Drosophila melanogaster: one gene and its partners. The gene in region 4 interacts genetically with the main gene of each other region. Each region holds a gene or a part of one and is shown on either strand. Other genes may lie near its edges.

Region 1 (5,037 bases), 7.6 Mb from region 4:
ATGAAACTAAGTTGTGTGTACAATTTTAAGCGTAAAAATATATACATTTAAATTTATAACCCAAACTAATTTAAGCGAAACAAAACGAAAACACAAAATCTACTTTACAAAAACTCAGCCTCACGAGAGAAATAGGGAGAAGTCGTAGCAAGAAGAGCCACATTTTATAAGCAAATTTTAATTTTAGCCTTTAAAAGAAAGCAAAAAGAATCAGGAATACTATTTAAACGATTGGATAACACACAAAAAATGCGAATACTTCCCTCTTATCAAACAACTTTTTGGGCTAGAACTGTCTGTAAATTAGTAAAAATAATACCAACACACACACACACACACACACTTATATAATTTTAAATTATAAAACAAAATAGTTGTAAAGCCAATCAACATTAAACAATAAAAAGAAAATCAATTTCAAATTGTAAAATATATCGAAGACATTTCAAATTAATATGGAGCAGTAGTAGAAGAGGAAGAGAACACTCCTGGGCCCCCAACAAGATGGCTTTGGTTCCTGTTTTAGTGACGCATGCAACAGAATCCTCTTCTCTTCATTTGCTTGGATTTATCGATTGATTTTTAATTATAATATTATTAAAGCTATAACTATGTATCATAATTTGTTATTGTTATAAAATTTAAACTGTAAACACACACATGGGCCCAATAGCAGTTTATTCATAGAAGCCAAATCATCCCACAAAACAAACAACCAACCACTTAACAGAGTCAACTACAAGTACATAAATAATTATTTAAACTCTCTCCTAGTAGTTATATATTTAACTAAACGATAGATAAAAGCAACAAACAAATGCAAATCATACAATTGTAAAAAAAAATCAATAAATAAACGAAGGAGAACCGCAACAAGCCGAAACCACTGTATAATTGTACGTTTAATTTTTATAAGAGAAAACACACTTGTTAGGTACTTTTCTTTCTTTCCAAAAACAAACACATGAAAAAAAGAGAAAATAAATATTACAAAAACGAAGGAAACTTTAAAATAAACAAAATAAATTTTTAAAACCGAATGTCTACTGTTTCAATTAAACTGAATATTTAAGTTTTTCAAGCCGAATTTAAATAAGGTGAAGTTTGCCATGGTCACAAGAAGTGTTTTTTGCTAACTTCTTTTTTAACTAAGCAATTTTGAATCATCATTTGAATGTTTTTGGTAAATATTATTTTTTATATTAATTATTTTTAATAAAGTATAAAGACTGTACTGTTTTATGCATCTTTTCAAAGATTTTTTTAAACACCAAGTTGAATTTTAAATATGTGATCCATTCCTTGGATTTTGATCATTTTACCCATGAGTAGTTAGCAGACTTGTCTGCATGTTTTAAAACGCCCGCCAACTGGGAAAGCAGTGCATTTTAATGCGCCCGCCAACTCGGAAAGCAGTAAAACGTAGCACTGCTTGCAATTTACGATATTCAAGTATGGCGCACTATCTTTAAACTTGAAACTTGCGTTTCTAAAAGCCAAACCCCAAAAAGCAGATCCTAGCGAAATATTTAAAATTGGTTTAAATTGGTTTTACAGCAGCTCCTAGTATTTGTAGTTAGTTAGTATTTATCACCTAGGCGGGGAGTTCAAGGAAATGATTATGCTTGATTGCATGGAAAGTAGATGCTCTTGGACAATGATTACATAAAAATATTTCCTATGTCATTAAGAAATCGACACAATAATAGCGCCATTATTTTATTATATTTTCTAAATTTTTCGAAAAAAAAGTGATCCAGAATGTAATATTTGCTAATGACATTATGCTCATATAAAAGTTTTTACAAATGGAATATCCGTTTTTAGTGCGCGAGGATTCAGTATTGGGCTTCATGGCGTGTTGGTAAACGAAGAGCTCTGCTATAGGTGGCGCGCTAGTGTAACAGCCGGCACTAACAGAGTTCTGTAAGCGGTCAAAAGACAGAGTTCGAAAACGACCGAACAGAGTTGGAAAACGCGCTAAACCGAAAATCGCGTATACAACAAGGGTAACGGCTGGCAGTGTTTCACGCGATTTCGAAACGTTGAGATCGTTGCCGCGGTCGCCGTGAATTGGAATTGTGAGTGTGTTCGTCGTGCGGAAAATCATCGCTGTCAAATAGAGGCCACAGTGAATTGCCGATACCTAATACTGTGCAAGGCGAAATTATGTGCCCCAGCATTTCGTGAATGAAAAGTGCGAAAATACAAAATACAGAGCAATAGTGCGAGGTCGGTGGAGTTCGAATTAAAGAAATTCCACGAAATACAAGTGCGGGCGATTCTCGTGTGCTGGCGAGAGTGCGGCTTGTCCGGGTGTGTGAGTAAAATTCACGGTAAATAAATAAATAAAATTTGTGTACACACACATACACACACACACGCGCGCTCTCCTATTATTTATATATACACAGCATGTTGTGAAGTTGCGGCGCAAAAAGAAAGCACGCGAATAAAACATAAGAAAATTTAATTACGCCTGCGTCTGGGAAAGTGCGTCGTTCTATTTTGAAATCGATACCAAAATAAAATACAAATAGAAATAAAAATCAAAAATTAGGTGACACAACAACAACTAGATCAACAATGCACGACAACAAAACCGTTGCAAAGGGGTATGTAACAAAAACAACAAATAATAATAAAATGAATAATAGTAGTGAGAACGTAACTAGGAAAATACTCGTGAAATTACTACGCAGCAGCAATTTATGCCAAGTTGTTTTTGCTCTCCTCCTCCTCCTCTCTCCGCCCGGTTCCTCTTGTTCCTTTTGTTGTTGTTCCATATCTATCATATCTTGGGCTGTTGTTGTTCTTCTTCTTCGCACACCGCTTTACGTCTCCGTTTTGTGAATGAGCGGCGCAGCCAACATTGTTCTCTTTTTCTCTCTCTCTCTGTCTCTCTGTCGTGCGGAGAGCGGCTGCGCGAAGAGAGGCGGAAAAGAAATGAAAGAATTTCGATTGCTGCCGGTTTTTGTTTTATTATTGTTGTTGTTGTTGTGCTGGTTTATTTTTTATTGTTGCACGCATTTTGAAAAGTGGTACAGATAAGTTTTCCATTGCATTAAATTAAGCCAGCACTAAAAGAGTAACTAACATTATTATTAAAAATAGTATTTCATGAAATTACTTAGTACTATTGCTAAAGACTGTCTCCTTATTGTCCTTGGTAAGTTTTAAAATTAATCATACAAGCGTCAATAAGAGCTATTCAATAGAATTTTATTAAATATTTATAGAATTAGTATAAATTATTAAAAAAAACAAAACAATAAACTTCAAAGAAGTGTCTTAGTCGACTTCCATTAAACACCCATACATTTTTCCTTAAAAGGCGCTTTAATATGTATGTTGCTCTCACCCCCTCTTCAGGACCACCTGCAAAACTCAATTTTTTATTTAATATTTCAAAAATAAAATTGAACTCACCTGTTGACTTGTCATGATTTTCAAACCTTTATAATTCTAAAGTTATACTTTGGAAAATGTGTTGTTTTTTAATGTATGGTGGACACCACACTTTCAGCGGTTGTCAAAAAGTCATGACAGTGCTGTTTTTTATTTTATTTTGGAGCTCGTAATTAGAGTGACCAAAATGCTGAGTAAACCAGCCAAATATATCCAGTACAATTTTAAAGCTCTCACTTGCTAAAACAAATCCCAAAAAGTTGATCAAACTATTTGCTCAAACTGTGACCTTATAAATCGGGTTTCTTTTTATCTTTAAGGTATATGTATAAGATATCCATTAAATTTAGTTTAATGGAGACTTTGTAAAAACGTTTGGAGCTTCTACAATGTTTTCATTTTATAAACATTAATTATTTAATGCCAACTTAAGCAGGTTGAGACTTTAATGACTTAAGTTGACATTAAAAGTGGGATATCCCTTTAAAAGAACGAGATAAAGATACACCCACGATTTACGGGCTTTTGATTTTGTGTTGTATCCGCAACGGAAGCAGATCAATAGATCGGGGGTCTGTGGGTGTACTGAAATAGTGATAAATGGGAAGATATTTCCCAAATAACTGGCGTGGAGATATTACGGGTAAGTGGTTTTGTGGGCGGGAAGGTGGAAAATGGGGAAATGTGGGGATGGGTCCGCTTGCTAATTAAAAAGCATAAGCACTAATTGGCGTGCCGCTGCGCTTGTTGTTGCTATTTGCGTTGCCGTTGAACTGCCCACTTGCTGTGCTCTTATTATATTCGCGTTATTATTGTATAATAAGAGAGAAATGCCATAAAAAATTGGGAGGTTGGGTTAAAACAACAGGCAAAACCGAAGTAGAAAAAAAAAACACCAGAGAATTGCGCATTTTTGTATTAATCATGCTATATTTTTGACGAGGCCCGAAGAATGTTGGCCAATGTATTTGTATTTGTGCGTAATTTATTTATTTTTAAATCGAGTTTGCCTGCCTGCTCTCTGTGCATTTGTGTGTGTGTGTGTGTGTGTGCGAGCATAAGTGCGAGTGTGTGTGCGTGCTGCGACAAAAATAAGTCGCCGCAATAACAAATTGCTGAAATAGAACCAAAATAAAGCAGAAGAACAGAAGAGATCTATAGAGGATGAGGCAATGACGGAACCCGGGCCAAGTTTGTTGTTGTTGCGCCTGCTTTTGTTTCTCTGTATTTTTATTATTTTATTTTTGTGCATGTTATTTCTGATATTGGCTTTTTAATGGTGTGGCTAAAAACCGGAAATTGTTTGTCCGGCTATTGTTGATGACGTATGACCATCGAGTTGTTGGCGGCTTTGGCGCATAATTTGGCCACACTAATTAACAGTGCCGAAACGAACAACAAAAACACACATGCCGCCACCAACACGAATGCCTTTTAAAGCGAGAAAAAACAAAAAAAATGCTCTGACCACATGTCTAAACGTAGCTGCGCGCAGGCCAGAAAGAGAGGGCACGATTGCCGAAAGAGAGTGGCCGGTGATAAGCCTGTATGTGTGTGTGTGTGAGCCGAGCGAGACAAACAGACAGGTGTCATTGACCTTTTTCGCTGCGAAACAGCACACACACACAC
Region 2 (4,017 bases), on a different chromosome or scaffold from region 4:
GATCTGCGGTTAAGCGTCACCTTTGCTTTTTAACCCTTTTGGGTGGAGTGTGCCTGGCATGACACGACGGGAAAATTCTCTGTCTGCCCTTAACCAAAAATGTGTTTTCCCTTTTAAGGTGACATATTGGTTTTGACGATAGCGATCGCTAAATGTTTGCTTACTCCGCCTTTTCCTGGCAGGACGGTTATCCTTTGCCATTTCATTGCCCAAAATGGAATACAAAGGCTTAATTCATAAGCGGTTATTAAAAGAGTGTATTAAACAAAATTTCATATTATTTTGACGTATTTTTTTATAAAAACTTTGGTGAAACAAATAAATATTCTTTTGAATTTATTTTAAAAACGTTTTAGTTTATTTTTAAAATATTTTAAAAACGCTTCGAATAATTTTTCAAAAACATTTTAATAGAGTTCTACACCTCCGAAATAAAAGGTAATTAAATATATATATCTCGGCAATGGTGTTGGTAAAATTCTTTATGTTTTTCTGAAAAGGGACAATAATAATCGTTCAAAGTATTTTTTAATTTTTTATAAAATTGTATTTATTTTTTGCTTGTTTGTCTTATAAAAATTTTAATTTCTTACAAATGCTATCTTTACATGTGATTAATTTCAATATTTCTTGTTTAATTTGCAATGCCAAAATTAAAATAATATGTTTTGAATTTTGCTAAAATCAATAATAATGATAAGATACATTTCAAATTTTGTTATTCTTGATTATTCGTATCAAAATTGCTTAAATGTTTGTTGTTGTTTTGTTTAATTTTTGTTAAAATGTATTCTGTTCGGCGGTTCTTGTATTCTATTTTTTGTAGACGTTTTGTATTTTCTCTCTTTGTTGTAAACATATAAAATTTGCTGTTTGCTTAAAATCTATTTTGTACAATTGAGTTGTTGTCTTTTGTTATTCTTGTTGCTGCGGTTGCATCTTTGTTTTGTTGTTGGTTCTGTATTGTAGTTCTGTAATATTAGTTTACGATTTATATTTGTAAGTAGTTGAAATGTAGTTGAAGTAGTTGAAGTAGAAAATTTGACAATTATTTGTTAGTTGAGTACGATACTTGTGGTTTTGCTCATACGTATAGACACTAATAAGGTTTATGACAATTTTACACATTTCTCTTTATGCTCTCTAAATGTTGTTAAGTATGTTTATGTATTTGAACCAACCGGGAAACCTTTGCTTGCAAAATTAAACATTTTTTCAAAACTTATATCGGAAAATTTGACATCCAAAAAAGTAACAAACAACCAAAATCACTTTAAGCAAGTCGATGACAAATTTTGAATTTTCTCTCTCTCAAAAATAGTTTAAAAATAGTTTTCTTATTTTGTTGTGGAAATATCCCATGTTTTACAAAACTCGTTCCTCCTCATGTGTCCATACCCAAAAAAGAAATCACAATGCGCTTTGATTGAGCCTGCCTTTCCCAGAAAATCCCAAAGATTTTCTCTCCACCAGGATGAAATATGGAAACCAAATTTAGTTCTCCTTGGAGGTGGCATCAGTCACGTCGTCCTCATCGTTGTTCTGACCGCCGCTGCTGATCTCGAAGGATATCTGAATGACCGTCGGTTGACGCTGGCTCGAACTGTAGCTGTAGATTCGCAGAGCGTAGCAGAAGATCTGGGCCAAAAGATCCCAGCATCCAAACTCCGACATGGTCATCGATCCCTGTTGACTTCCCAGCGGCACGGAAATATTGGCACGGAATTGTGGGCGCTGTTGCTGATGATGATGTCGCTGCTGCTGCTGCTGTTGTTGCGATTGTTGCTGCTGCTGCGATGGTGCAGCAGCTGTTGCAGTTGTCCTTGGACTCGCTGCTGTCTGCTGGCCGTTTTGCTGATAGCTTCTGGCCAACAATTGGGCCTGGTCGGGTATGAAATAGGCGATGGCCATGGCGGTATTTAATTTAATACAAAATGTGATTTTACAAAACGTATGAATCTTTAAAAAAATATATAACTTTAGTGTAGCATATATTTTTAATGTTTGATTTCAATATCGCTGAGGAATAATATATTCCATTCACTGCTTGCACTTTAAGTCTTGTAAGTCTTTATGTTTCGTATCGAGCACTTGGAAAATTTTTCTGACTCATTTGGCGGGAAAACGAACGAGGAAACTTGTCGCTTTTTGACGAACTTTCAACTGCGCTTTTCGCTTCCGCTTGTTATTCAATGTTCTCTCGTCGAGGTTTCAGAGTGGACTGACTGTAAATATCCTTGCTGCAGTCACATTTATAAAATAGCTCTCTTTGTACTTTCCTATAGGAAGCGAGTTCCTCTCTCGCAGTGAATGTCACCCTCCCAATTTCCACCACCCCCCGGGAGTTTGTGTGTATTGTGTGTGTGCTTTGTTTATGCCAACAACCAACCAATTGAACCACCAACCACAGGAACCCACACCACTGACAATGTGCCACCACCACCGCCAGTTTACCACCCCAAAGACACGGCTGCCTTTGTTACCTTTACTTCGGAACTAGAAAGGGGGTGGGAAAGTGGCTGAGAAGCGGTGAGAGACTCGGGAAATGAGAGCGGAATTGGGGAAAATCATTTCACGTAAGAGTGCTACGTCAAATAAAACGTAAGCTCTTTGGGATTTCGTTGTTCGAAGCGCGGCATCGAATTCATTTCGAATTTCAGGGGTTAACTTGGGCGTACTTGCTCTAGCTGAGTCTAGCAATTTTGAGGGGAAGTTTGGTCGTCGTATGCTCATTTCGAATTTCGAACTTGGATTTCACTACGGATGAATCAACAATTGTTTGTTATGACATTTTGGTTCGCATAGAAACTGATTTTTGGTGATTAAATGCAATTTAATCTTGCTTATTGTACCTATTATTAGTATAATTATTATTTTCAATATTCATTAATGGCAAACAAATTTATACCAGGGACCAACGAGATCTTTTCTTACATTGTATCACTTTGGGTTATTTATAGTATACTTCTTTACATACTTAATATATTTCAAAACAGCGGAGTCTCCTTCACCTAAAATCTCTTGGAACCACTAACCCGCTTTCAAGTTAAGCATCCTTCAACTCAAAAAGCTTGCACGGCAAATCTTTGATGCGAAAACCTTGCGTAATGGTCCTTGAAGATTCCCCCTATTGCAGCCTTAAACTTGACCATAACAAAGGGCACCCAAATGGATTGACCTTCAAGCTAACGCGAATCCAGCTCCCTCAAACATTATGCTGACGACAATTTCAACCTTGGAAAATGTTTGATCCCAGCTCCCCCATTTTCCGTTAGCTGCAGCTCATCCATTATGATAAGCTGTTCCCGGATAGTTGCAAAGTCAAGAAAGCAGTGGCTGTGGTAGAGGGGTATGAAGAAAGTATACTTATGCAAAACTGATTATAAGAAAAATTGAGAATAATTTTTGGGTATAATTTCATGAAAAAATAAATTTTATCAATAATGTAAATTTATTGAATTTGTTTTATATAATTTATTTACAATCATGATGAATTAAAATCTTACATATGGAATAAATCATAATAACGATTTTTTTTAATTAGACAAGTATATTGTATTATCTCCTCCTCTGTCCCAAATGTTCAATAAATGTCATTTAACACTTTAACATTCCAGAAAAGGACTTCCAGGGAGCGGAAAGCATAAAGCCAATTGAGCTTATTTCCTCCCCCTATGTAACATTTTTGCTGAGGGAGCTCCAACAAGGCCATCGCCAAGGCCAAGTCCGCCACTTGTGGGTGATGTTCCACAAGTCTCCTACCGGCAAAAGCTTTTTATTTCTCACCCAACTGGCTTCAAGGTCGTGCCGGCCGGCATTTCCACCCACATTCAGCTTTTCCTCTTCATTTTTGTGCGTGCGACCTTGACAATGAAATTCGTTTAGGGAGCACAGCTCCTCCAAAGAAAGTGTGGGTGAGCTTTTCCTGACACAGTTGACAGCACGTGGTCGTTATATTCTGGCATATATATAAATGTCAAGCTCAAGGTCGCTGGGTATCGATTTGCCGAACTTGGA
Region 3 (6,995 bases), on a different chromosome or scaffold from region 4:
ATAGTTGCTTAAGGATTGCCTATGAGTAAAGATTAATAAATAATAACTTAAGCGCGACCGTAAAACGCAGACTCAAACATTTAAAATCGTAGCATTCGATCGTTTTCGATCGTCCAACAGATTCCCTCATTCCCCCACATCAACAACAACAACAGAATGATAAAAAAAAAAGAAAAAACAAAAAACTGATAGTCGTCGTCTCTTCATTATTTATTTAACGAATACCCATTAACATGACAATTGCAAGCACGTAAAATTTAAGTTATAACGTAGAAAACTAGTAAGAAAAATACGCTAAGACTCGAACAACGTCAAACCAAAATCTAGAAGTACGCAATTTTAATAAAGGAAATGCGGAACAGTTTCTCGTATACATAAAAGCTTTCGCAAAATAATTGGTCTAAAACATTAAAGAATTTTGAGAACTCGGAATTGTGTAGGTGTTCATTTTTACAGAACCTCTTATAACCATCGTAATAAACCCTACGAAATGAAGCAGTCAGCAGTCCGAAACTGGTAAGAAAGCGTTTTCGAAAATCTGCTTTGTTTTCTGAATCTCGAAAACCTAAAAAGCAATAACCGCCAAGTGTTTACAAACAAATCATTGACTTTACGTTTTGGTAAGAAATATTGCATGTGTACTATCCATCGATCTAACTTTTTACCTATTAAGACAAATACTATACAAATCTATAACTTATTGTAGTTGGGTCGAAACGGCAAAAATCTAGCCAATGCTGCAAGCAACTATATTAAGCGCATCGGTTTTAATGTTTATGTTTTATTTCATTTAACTAAATTAACAGGTCATTTGTTGGAGTATCTCTTAACGTCACTTTCAGATTTATTAGATTGCTTAAAGTTCAAAACATAGCTAAGCAATACTTATGATAACGACGATTAGTTAGTTAGCCCAAGGGGCTATTAAATATTTAAACGATGGACTGCAGAAACTTTTTAAACAAATAAAAAGCGAGACAAATAAATGAGAAATTGGTTAACACGGCAAAACACTTGTTTTTATTTCTTCGTCTTCGAGTCCTTTTTGCTTCAATAACATTTACTGATGATTGGCCTATTTTGATTTATTCAAGTTACGAATTAAAGTCAACAGTTGAGAATTAAGTGGTACCAAGAATTCATTTTGCGGAAACCAACTAGCCTTAAGATACGAGTGTAATTTTTAAAGTTTTGAAAATTTTTTAAAATTTTAAATTATTCAGATAGCAGGTTTTGCTTTTGAATAAAGGAACTTTAAATTCCAATCATATTTATGTCAAAATAATCGAATACCCATAAAAAACCTGTTGCACTTTTATCGATTGTAAATAAAAAAAGAGAGGATTACATTAATGGTATTACCCAAACTGATAGTTTTCAATAGCATTTCAATGGCTGGAAAAAAAAATAAATAAAAGGTATTCGTAAATCTTAAAAATGTTTGCGTTTTAAAAAATTGCATACCAAAAATAATATTGGTTTTGCAAGAAATGGAATTTTTAATAGCTGTAGCAATATTAGTTTCGTGGGTAGAACTCGAGTAAAAGATGTGTTGGTAGTCATGTTTTTGGTAGCATGAAGTTATATGTGTGTTGTTTAATAAGATTAAAATAAATGCATAGATAATTACATATTGTTTAAAACCGCAGTGCTAAAAAATAAATGGTTGTATCGATGACCCATCGATAGTTTTTGCATACACAATTTAATCGAGAGGGCACCACGCACGTCGATAGCACTGGATGTACATTTTCTCAAATCTTGTGGTGGTATCGCTCGCCGTAAACACCCTGTGGATCTCACGCTTGATAAATTAATAATACATTTAATAGAGCATGAGCGCTACTGTTTAACTTTTACACATAATTGAAAAGTTTTATTTGAAATTTCGTGGCTTAGAGCAAAACATGTGATAGCTTTTTGAAATGCAGTAGCCAGAACCTGCTCGGTTGGAACATTTAGCTTATTGACTTAAACATACCCATATGCACATACATACATATGTATTAAACAGTGGGCACATATATTCGTGTGGTGCTGATAGTGTAAATGTGTAAAATGTCTGTGGAATTGTAAATATGTTTTTGTTTAAACAAATATGTACATAAATGCACAAAAATCGGTGCATATATGTGCACATGCCCATCATCCATATCTGCATATTTCTGTACATGCATATGTGCTCTAACTACAATACATACCACCATTCGCAAACAGTTTGTCAAAAAAGTGTGTCTACTCGGCGAGATAAAACAAAAAACAGTTGCCAAATCAGTCGCTATGTTAAGTAATTCGAAATTACTGCTCGGTGTTTCTAAAACGGATTTTGATTTTGATTTTCACCCCTCGAAAATCGCCCCCTCAGCCAACGAACCCATTTAATTGCTCGAATTCGTATCGAAATCGCCGTGCGTTGGGCTTCAATAAAAGAACTCTGTTCTGTTAGCCAGTTACAATTAAAACCAGGACCATTTGACAACCAATCTGAATGTATTATGCCAAGCGGAAGATTGTTATATTGTTTATCTTTGATAATATGCCGATACATGTAAGTATGTTTCACGTGTGTGCCGCAAATGCCTGCCTGTGTGTGTGTGTGTGTGTATGTACATATGTGCGTGTGCATGTGCGAGTGTGTGTGAGTGTGTGCATGTTTGTGCTAAGGATATTTGTGGATATATAAACCGAACTGAAGTTAACTCTTTACCTGTTCCTGGGAAAACAAGTAGGGAACTATTCCTATAGAGAGTGCACCTCTGTCTGTATGTGTATGTACGTGCTTAAATATGTATCCAAGCAAGAACTGCAAACAGGAATATATCTTAGCCGAGTAAGAAGTATTAGTTTATATAGAACAACCTAAGTGGATCGGGAGAAAACAAGCCCATTATATTAGTTCCATATATCCCTTTAGAATGCCTTGGCACAGTATAATTAAGCAGTTTCTATTGACCATATTAGAAACTTGTCTGCTGTTAAAGGATTTAGGTTTGAATTCGCAGTAGAAAACTAAGCTGAATTGAGTCAATACTTTTCTAACTTGCTGTGGAAAATAAACAGATTAGTTAGAATCATATGCATATTAATTAATATGCTTTACATTCCTTTCAGAACGTACACTTTGCAATGGAGTAAATAGAAGACAAGCACTGGTTCCCAAATACATTTGAATGGATGCAGCTAATCTAATTTAAATAAAAAAGACAAGTCTTTAAACCTTAAAAATATGGCCAACACTATTTCGTTAATGTCCAACGTGATACGCAATGTAGTGAGTAAAAAACGTATACGATACAAAGAAAAAGGATACGATTTGGATTTAACATGTAAGTTATTGAATCAACCGCAATCATTGGAATATTAAATTAAATTATCTATTTACCCACAGACATTAATGATAACATAATTGCCATGGGCTATCCAGCACCGGATAAACTAGAGGGCCTATTCAGAAACCGTCTGGAAGATGTCTTTAAGCTATTGGAAGAGAATCATGCCCAGCATTACAAAATCTATAACCTATGCTCGGAGCGTAGTTACGACGTTGCTAAATTTCGCGGGGTAATTTTGTTGAACTTTTTCTATTTGTCGGCGTAAAATATGTAAAATATACTATTTCGCATTACAGAGAGTAGCTGTTTATCCGTTCGATGATCATAACCCTCCAACGATTGAGTTAATACAACGATTTTGCAGTGATGTTGATATGTGGCTCAAGGAAGATTCGTCCAATGTTGTAGCCGTGCACTGTAAAGCTGGAAAGGGCAGAACCGGTAGGAAATGTGTTCAACATTTTGTGCGAAAGTTCATAAATATCATGGCACACTATGATCTTGTTTCGATATTTGTAGGGCTAAAAAACTAACCCAGTTTTTTTTCATTTCAGGTACCATGATCTGCGCATATTTAGTGTTCAGTGGAATTAAAAAATCCGCCGACGAGGCATTAGCGTGGTATGATGAGAAGCGTACAAAGGACCGAAAAGGTGTGACAATCCCATCTCAGCGTCGATATGTTCAGTATTTTTCCAAACTAGTTTGTTCAAGTGTTCCATATTCGAAAGTAAGCCTTAACGTGAGTATTTCCAGCAGCAGCGCCACATTCAGCGCCGTACAAAATCTAAATATGCATTTTTTGTATCTCAGGTATGTGAAATACGCTTCTCGGAGTCCAGTTGTGTGCAAAACTTAGGCATGGTAGAATGTTCAATATCTGTATTACACGACTCAGCCACAGAAAATGCAAAGCCAGATGTAAGTATATAAAGTATATAGATACATCATTGATAGACTATAGACAGCATTTTAAAAATGTATATTTCACACGATTTCAGTGCAGTAAAGTGTTCCTTTTCGAATACCTTTCTAACCAGCAGTAACATTCTTCTTTTTTTTATAATTGCAGAGACTGAAAACCTTGCCGATTGATTTTCAAAAATCATTTGTTTTGACCATTAAACCATCAATACCAGTTTCCGGCGATGTAAAATTTGAACTCACAAAAAAATCCCCAGATAAAATCATTTGTCACTTTTGGCTAAATACGTTTTTTGTACGAAACTATTCACGTAAGTATACTTAATATCGCACATGCATTAAATAAACGATTTAATTAAACATTCTCTTTAGCTTGCGAGTCCGATGGAACAGTTAACAAATATATACACACTTTAAGCAAATCAGAAATCGATGATGTACATAAAGACAGTGAACATAAAAGATTTTCAGAAGAATTCAAGGTAGGATATTTCGAAGCATTTTAATAGATGCTGCGAAATTACCAAATAAATGTGCTTGCTCTCTTTTCAGATTTCAATCGTTTTTGAGGCAGAGAATTTTAGCAATGATGTTCAAGCTGAAGCGTCCGAAAAAGAGAGAAACGAAAATGTTTTAAATTTCGAAAGATCAGACTATGACAGTTTGTCTCCAAACTGCTATGCCGAAAAAAAAGTCTTAACTGCGATCGTCAATGATAATACAACGAAAAGTCAAACAATAGAAACGTTGGATCATAAGGATATAGTTGTAAGTGAAAACACGTTTTGCGCCGATCAATATGCTTAATCTATAAATCTAATATTCGTAGACTAAAATTCAATACGACACATCAACCAATTCAAAAAATACTTCGACTGCGTGCAAACGCAAACAGCCTAATAGCAAAACTCTTTTACCAAGCTTGAATGATTCCACAAAAGAGGAAATAAAACGAAATCATATATTTAATCAACCGTCCATTAAGAAAACTGATTTAATCAAATGGCAGAATAGTGAAGTTCATATCACCTCTGACACTCGAAGTATAAACGAAAATAAGAACATCAATTACAATTCATACATCACATGTAAACAATCCTCTCCAAAATTCAACTGTGGTACCGAAGATGGCGAGGAAGATTGGGAATCCGGTGAGTTTGCTGCACACTATACTCTCAATGACCAGATCTCACTAAAAATCTATCCGTTTTAATCGAGTAATACCGAACAATTGTTCTAATTTCACATTTATTTAATACTAAGAGTTTCGATTCAATTGATTTCTGGACCATTATCGGTTTGATTTTGTAATTAATTGTATTGTATGAGTATTCAAATTAAGATTTGTTAAAAGAGATAGCCTTTATCGACATATGCTATCGTCCACACATTTATATTCTTATTGACTTATTGAATTCGCCAGAATAATCACCCGAGACGATTTAAAAGACTTCTGGCTGAACGATCTCTTAATTTTGATGTATAAAACGAAGCCACCAGAACTGGATTTATATGTCCCCAAGACTTTTACGAGTATACTAGCAGAGACAGGCTTACACAGATCCACTTCCTTTCACGGGGAAACGATCGATTACAGCTGCGCTCTGCACATCTGTTTAGAATTTAATGTACATAGGTGAGTGAGTGGGAGCCCATGCCTGCGGCTCGAATGGTCAACTAACCGGCAATCCTTAATCAGTATCCGCATCGATTTTCATCACACATCCCTCACCGCTTCATAAGTATGTGACTCTGGGCACTGCCATTGTCCTTCTACTCAATTCATTTAACAAAACTAGCACCGAACTGTCGAACTTCGACTAATTCGACTATTTCACTGTTGCTGTTGAAAACTAAATATCCTGAAGCAGAATGTGTCTTTTGTGTGTTTCATCATCATCAAAAGTCTTCTGCTTTTAATTCATTCATGCTATTTTGATTTTTATCGTATTCTCGTTGAGTTTTAGTTAATAAATTCATTAAGCTTGTTTGAGCAAAAAAATCTAAACTAATAAATGAATATTTTTCTTTATTTCCAGGTGAATCAACATACCTGTAATCAATGCTTATTACGGACTTATAATTCTTGGTGATTTAGCAAAGTAATTAAAATTGCTAAGTAATTGGCTAATCTATTCGAATTTGTAAATATACTGTATGATATTTATTTAAGTAGTTTTAACAATTATTTTAAATAAACTCATGTACATTTTGTATTGTAGATTTCATTCGAACTTTGGGTTTTTGTCTAAAGTAAGGGGGGAGAAATAATTGACGTTTAGAAAAAAATACTTAAATTTATAGTTTTGATCTCGAAACTAGTTTTCGACACGAAAAGTGCAGCGATTAAATGGATATCTCATATTTTATTGGAATTTAACTAATAGTTTCAAATGAGGCAATAGCTAAGATAAATAAATAATAAGAGGTTCTTGAAATTTGCCAATTGTTGTGCAAAGCATACAGGATTCACAAAGGTAATTATCAGATTAATAATAAATATTCAAAGTATGATTATTCCAGTTTCTACGTTAAGTGCTACCAGTTATTTTTCTTACTCTTTTTCCCATAATTCCCCTAACATATGTTCCACTTCCGAGTTCCAATAAACCCAACACAAAAATGTTGTCCAAATTGACGCTATCTTGACGGGCATATATTATTGTGTTAAATTGACGTAAACTGGGCGGTCAGAATTTCGCATCTTAACGTCGACATCTAATTTTAAAAATGACTAAT
Region 4 (4,767 bases):
AACTTCAATTCATTTGATACTCCAGTTAACATGCTATTTACATGCTCATTTAAATGGTAGTAGTGATTTATAAGCCCACTTCCAGATGGAACTTACCTATACCAACGTGTTACTTATCGTTCTTAAGCCAACTTAATAGCATTCTAAAATATATATGTATCTTTTGGCGGACTTATCTTCTTGTTGTTCTCGCATTCCAAAATCTCTATGTACATGCAAACTTTTATTGTCATAACTCGGGACTTTGCAGACTTTGAGGCCTATTTAATAGAGCTATAATCTTACAACAAAAAAAAACTAAAAGAGCTTTTTAAGCAATAAAAATATTCTGAAAAATTACAAATTAACAAAAAATTACCCAATGAAGCCTGCAAATTTGAAATCTTTAAGATCCTAGATATGCCAAGATGCACCCTAAAGTCCTTAACTCATCTCCTTGGCTCGTTTCTAATCCCCCCTCTCGAGGGATCGAGACGATCGCATCGGGTCGGTCTTTAAGTTTGGATGATCCATAAACTGTTGGTTTCTCCGTCCTCAGCGTCTAGACTTCATTAGCCGTGTAATGTTGCGGAATTTATGTGGCAGGCACATTAAAATAACACCGATACACACTCTCATGGACGCGAACGTGTGTACAAGTATAGAGATATCGGGCCTAGGCGAAAAATGAAATTAAAAAAAAAAAAAAAACTGGCACCGGGAGGGGCTTATTTTTCGGTGGTCGGGGATGCGGGGGACTTTGACCATAAAATACATGCTCCCAAAAAGCTCGCACACTGCAAGAGATGCGGGGCACTTCTGAGTCCCATATTCATATGCACAAATGTGCATTGCTGGCATTATCAGTAGAATGCAATTTCGGGAAATTTTCCATCGCATCACGAGACAATGAACGTAAGAGAGAAATGGAGCCTCAAAGAGGGAGGGAGAGAGAGAGCTTGAGTGAACGAGCGAGCGACAATCGCGAGATAACGGCTGCCTTATCAGCAATGCCGACCGCCCCATCACCCCACCCAAAACGCCCAACCACCACCCACCGCCGCCGTTCCCTTTCCTCCATCGTCGAGAATTTCGAGTTCAGAGCAGCGCGACCGAAATGAAAAGAAACAATTTAAATTCCAAATGTATAAAATAGGTAAACTATGGCTTTTATTTATTAATATTGACGGGGGCACAAAGGCGGTCACCTCAATAGTGAATAACATGTTTTTTATAATGAATACTTTTCAAATTGTTATTAATATGCAATGACGTCTTAAATGTTTCACTGCAGCTGAACTTTATTCTTTTCATTAAAACAGTCACCCGTTATTAAAAATAAATAGATTAAGTTTTATATTATTAAATTTGTAAGTATTGAAACAATTCCTTTTTTATTTTATACGAATTATCATTTAGTTGGGGTTAATATCCCTTAAAGAGAGAAATTTGTATGCTTTAAGATTTAAAATATCTATTGCATTTATAGCTATAGCTATAACTTCTCTTATTTCACGCAGAAAATACTCAAATAAAACATATCGATTTGGCATACCCCACTAATTTTTTGGCCCCAAGTGTGTGAGAGTGTGTGAGACGAAGCGCGCCACAAACATAAAAAAGCGGTGAAGTGAGCGGTTGTGGAACGTGAGTGGATGCTAAGAGCAAGCTCTCACATACGCGGACATAGGTCGCACACACACACGCACAGACCGCCTTTTTGCGCCGCCGAAACGAACACTTTTACGAAGGCGACGGCGAATCAGTTTCAGTTGTCAGTTCGCATCCAACTAGAAAGCAGTTAACGAGTAGTCTGTGTTTTTTCGCTTGCGGTTAAAAGCCACGAGGTCGTTCATCGTTCATCGTTTTCCTTTTCAACTTCAAGCAAAGCAAATATAAACCAATGCAAAAAACGCAGTGATCTTTTGAGGCCCAAATCGTTTGGGGCCGAACACCGTTGATTCTAAAACGCAAATGTAGAAACAAATCAAGAAAGTGGAAAATAAATATGTTTCGCTTTCAAAACATGTGAATGTGCCGAACTCAAAACTGAAACGTAGAAGGAACGCGTTCGTTTTTTACATACGACAATCGTATAAAATAAGAGAAAAGCTCCAAAACGTATTAAATAGCGATGCTTGGATGATCTTCGTAGCAGTCACGTTGTACATACAAATACATACATATGTACCTACTATATGGCACATAAAATACGTTACGCACACTAGTGGCGAATAAAAAGCGAATTGGAGTAAGCTCCGAAACGTGTTTATATTAAAATTTTTTACCCATTTGAACTTTAAACAACTTTTCGACTGCGCCGCACGGTTTTCATTGAATTCTCATACGAATTCCAATTAAGTGTTGTGTGTGCGTCCAATTGGCATGAATTGATGACGTGACGTGATCGCTCTCTTCGCTCTCTCCCTCTCTTTCTTCGGCACACACACATACACACACTACGCTCTTTAATCGCGCCGCTCTCTTCGCGCTCTTTTTATTTGTTTATTTTGATTGTTGTTATATATATATTCTAATTTACCGTTTTTACAATCGTCTTTAGCTTAAGCAAAACCGCCGCCCAGCAACAACAAGAAACCCATTTAATGAGTGTGTGTGTGTGTGAGCAGAAAATTATGCCAACAGAATTCTAAAAAATATATATGTATATATTTAAATAACCACTAAAAATCAAGAAATCCGCACAAGTTTCGCTCAAAACAACAACACAATCATATATACTACCCATAAAAAAAAAACAAACCCATAAAAAAGTGCAAAGCAACCAGGAAAATAAAGTAAAACAGTGCCAGTTAACAACAGCAAACGGCGATCAACAAATCCCACCGGCAAAATCAACAATTTTTTAAATCGCAATCAACAAGGAGCAACAAATTAGCCAGCTATTTCCCATTGCAAACATTTGGCGGGTAAATATTATTAACAATTACGAGTAGGTGTACTTGATTGAATGAAAAATGTCATGTTTTTTAAGTTCCTAAATTCGATTCGAATCTAATCGGCAATTGATTGAAATATTCTAAAAGTCAAATTTTGTTTCGTCACGCGATTAAAAAAGTAATTGAAGCAGTGCTTTCCTACACATCAATTAAAATTTAAATTAAATGGTATTTTATGTTGATTACAACAACATTTTTTTTAGTCGCCACAATAAAATATTCATTCTTCCGTGAAATATTTCCAATATAAATTGCTATTGCTATATTTATAAAAATAAGCTTTGATAAAAGTTAAGAGGTTTAATAGAAACTAGAGTTAGGTTCTTTTATTTATATTGGTGTTTAGAATTTTAGATAGGAAAGCTGGACTTTTTGTTGTGTTAAAGTAGTCACATCTATTGAATTTACGACCCAAATTTTAATACAACCGATAGGGAATGTGATTTATAACCTTATTCGAGTAATTCCTAGTTTCACTTTCAAGATCAAAACGACTAGAATCATAAAGTCGGTCACGTTCGGCGCTGCAGTGTCGCTCCAATAGATGATCTTTCAGTTCGTGTGGGTTTTGATTAGTCCGTTTTGGTGTGTTACTTGTCATGGGAGTGGGCAGGGGAGATCTTAATTAGAGCAGCGCTGATAATGGCTCTAAAAATAGAGCCCCAGCGCCACACTGATAGCAGAGCTTGAAGCGTGTGTCGTTTGCGTGGAGCTCATTTCTTTCGTTCTGTGTTTGTTTGCTCCCCCGATTTTCGTATGCGATCCACTAAGGTCGATTTTGTTGCCATATTTTGCCAGCGATCTCGTATACGCACCGTTTTCAGATGCTTTTGAATATTCTCTTGACATCAGTATTGACATTGAAATGTGATTAGGTTTAATTTTCATAAATGGGTTGATTCGCCACTCGGTTAGCTGTCGAAAGAGGCTTTTTTATTCCCCATTTACAGATAAGGCTTTTATCTATTCGCAATGTGCCAAGGTACAACAGCAGCTGATGGCCCAAAAAAAGTGTACATATAAGCCTATACACACATCTGTATAGTCGTCCTATGTGCTTGCGATTGTGACTTTTATCATATCTTGAGTGTTTGCTAGCCACATTGGTGGAACGTGCCAGTTGATAACAAGAAAGTGTGCGAAAGTTTGTCTAAAAAGCTGTAATTGAAGCAGGGAAACCGGGAAGTCAATTAATTTTGAGAGACAACATTAAACGTATTCTTCGTATTCTAGTATTCTTCAAGAATTAGTAAAGCTCTTACTAATAAGCTCGTTTGAGAATGACGATAAGTTATATCGATAATGTCGATTTTACCGATAACCGAAAAACGTTAGTAATGGAAATTTAATGATCATTAAATGAGAGCCACTACATATTGTTTTGTTTAGAAAGATATAGTCGGAATACCAGTAGTTATTTCTTAGTATTATTTTGTGATTTTTAAATATTCTACTCAGATGTGTAGAACTTTTTTTCGAACGCTTCTTTTTGCTTAATTTATTTCGTTTTTCGCGCCGACCCCAAAAACGTTAGTAATGCAAATCGATTGCGTTTGCGAAGTCAGATGATCCCATCCATGATTTCCATGCGTCAGTTGTCCCAGCTGTCAATCGAAGATCGCCGTTTGGGGGCTCTACGTTCCTGGTTGACTTCGCCATCGGTCGAGTGGAATCGAATCGTTCGTTTGCTCTTTAATTATTGTAATGAATTCAATAAACATTGCAGGGCCTCTGCCGTTCATTTGCATTTGCGTTCGCACTCGCTGCATTCTGAACTATTGCACATTGCCTGGTCGGGCCTCTCCTTCTCTATATAGCGATATATATG

What was found.
Region 1: of foxo (region 4) and InR, changing one suppresses a phenotype caused by changing the other (phenotypic suppression), as found in Drosophila melanogaster (4 studies listed by BioGRID).
Region 2: of foxo (region 4) and grim, changing one enhances a phenotype caused by changing the other (phenotypic enhancement), as found in Drosophila melanogaster (one study listed by BioGRID).
Region 3: of foxo (region 4) and Pten, changing one suppresses a phenotype caused by changing the other (phenotypic suppression), as found in Drosophila melanogaster (2 studies listed by BioGRID).

Annotation. Positions count from the first base shown.
Region 1 is NT_033777.3:21,616,305-21,621,341, reverse strand, and holds the start of InR (Insulin-like receptor), read left to right. Parts: upstream 1-2,020; 5' UTR 2,021-2,320; exon of another isoform or gene 2,321-2,615; intron 2,616-5,037. UniProt on the Drosophila melanogaster protein: Has a ligand-stimulated tyrosine-protein kinase activity. Binds 3 insulin-like peptide ligands.
Region 2 is NT_037436.4:18,302,189-18,306,205, forward strand, and holds grim (grim), read right to left. Parts: upstream 2,230-4,017; 5' UTR 1,912-2,229; coding exon 1,495-1,911; 3' UTR 531-1,494; downstream 1-530. UniProt on the Drosophila melanogaster protein: Activator of apoptosis, independent of rpr and hid, that acts on the effector Dredd.
Region 3 is NT_033779.5:10,255,807-10,262,801, reverse strand, and holds Pten (phosphatase and tensin homolog), read left to right. Parts: upstream 1-1,752; 5' UTR 1,753-1,948; exon of another isoform or gene 1,949-2,217; 5' UTR 2,218-2,548; intron 2,549-2,814; exon of another isoform or gene 2,815-3,111; 5' UTR 3,112-3,226; coding exon 3,227-3,326; intron 3,327-3,388; coding exon 3,389-3,561; intron 3,562-3,628; coding exon 3,629-3,773; intron 3,774-3,886; coding exon 3,887-4,074; intron 4,075-4,145; coding exon 4,146-4,253; intron 4,254-4,404; coding exon 4,405-4,567; intron 4,568-4,628; coding exon 4,629-4,738; intron 4,739-4,808; coding exon 4,809-5,024; intron 5,025-5,085; coding exon 5,086-5,407; intron 5,408-5,679; coding exon of another isoform or gene 5,680-5,684; exon of another isoform or gene 5,685-5,892; intron 5,893-6,295; coding exon 6,296-6,315; coding exon of another isoform or gene 6,316-6,349; 3' UTR 6,350-6,483; downstream 6,484-6,995. Other genes in the region: CG5676 (uncharacterized protein), read left to right, coding at 6,987-6,995.
Region 4 is NT_033777.3:14,055,199-14,059,965, forward strand, and holds the start of foxo (forkhead box, sub-group O), read left to right. Parts: upstream 1-1,746; 5' UTR 1,747-1,826; exon of another isoform or gene 1,827-2,230; intron 2,231-2,542; 5' UTR 2,543-2,909; intron 2,910-4,767. UniProt on the Drosophila melanogaster protein: Transcription factor involved in the regulation of the insulin signaling pathway. Consistently activates both the downstream target Thor\d4EBP and the feedback control target InR.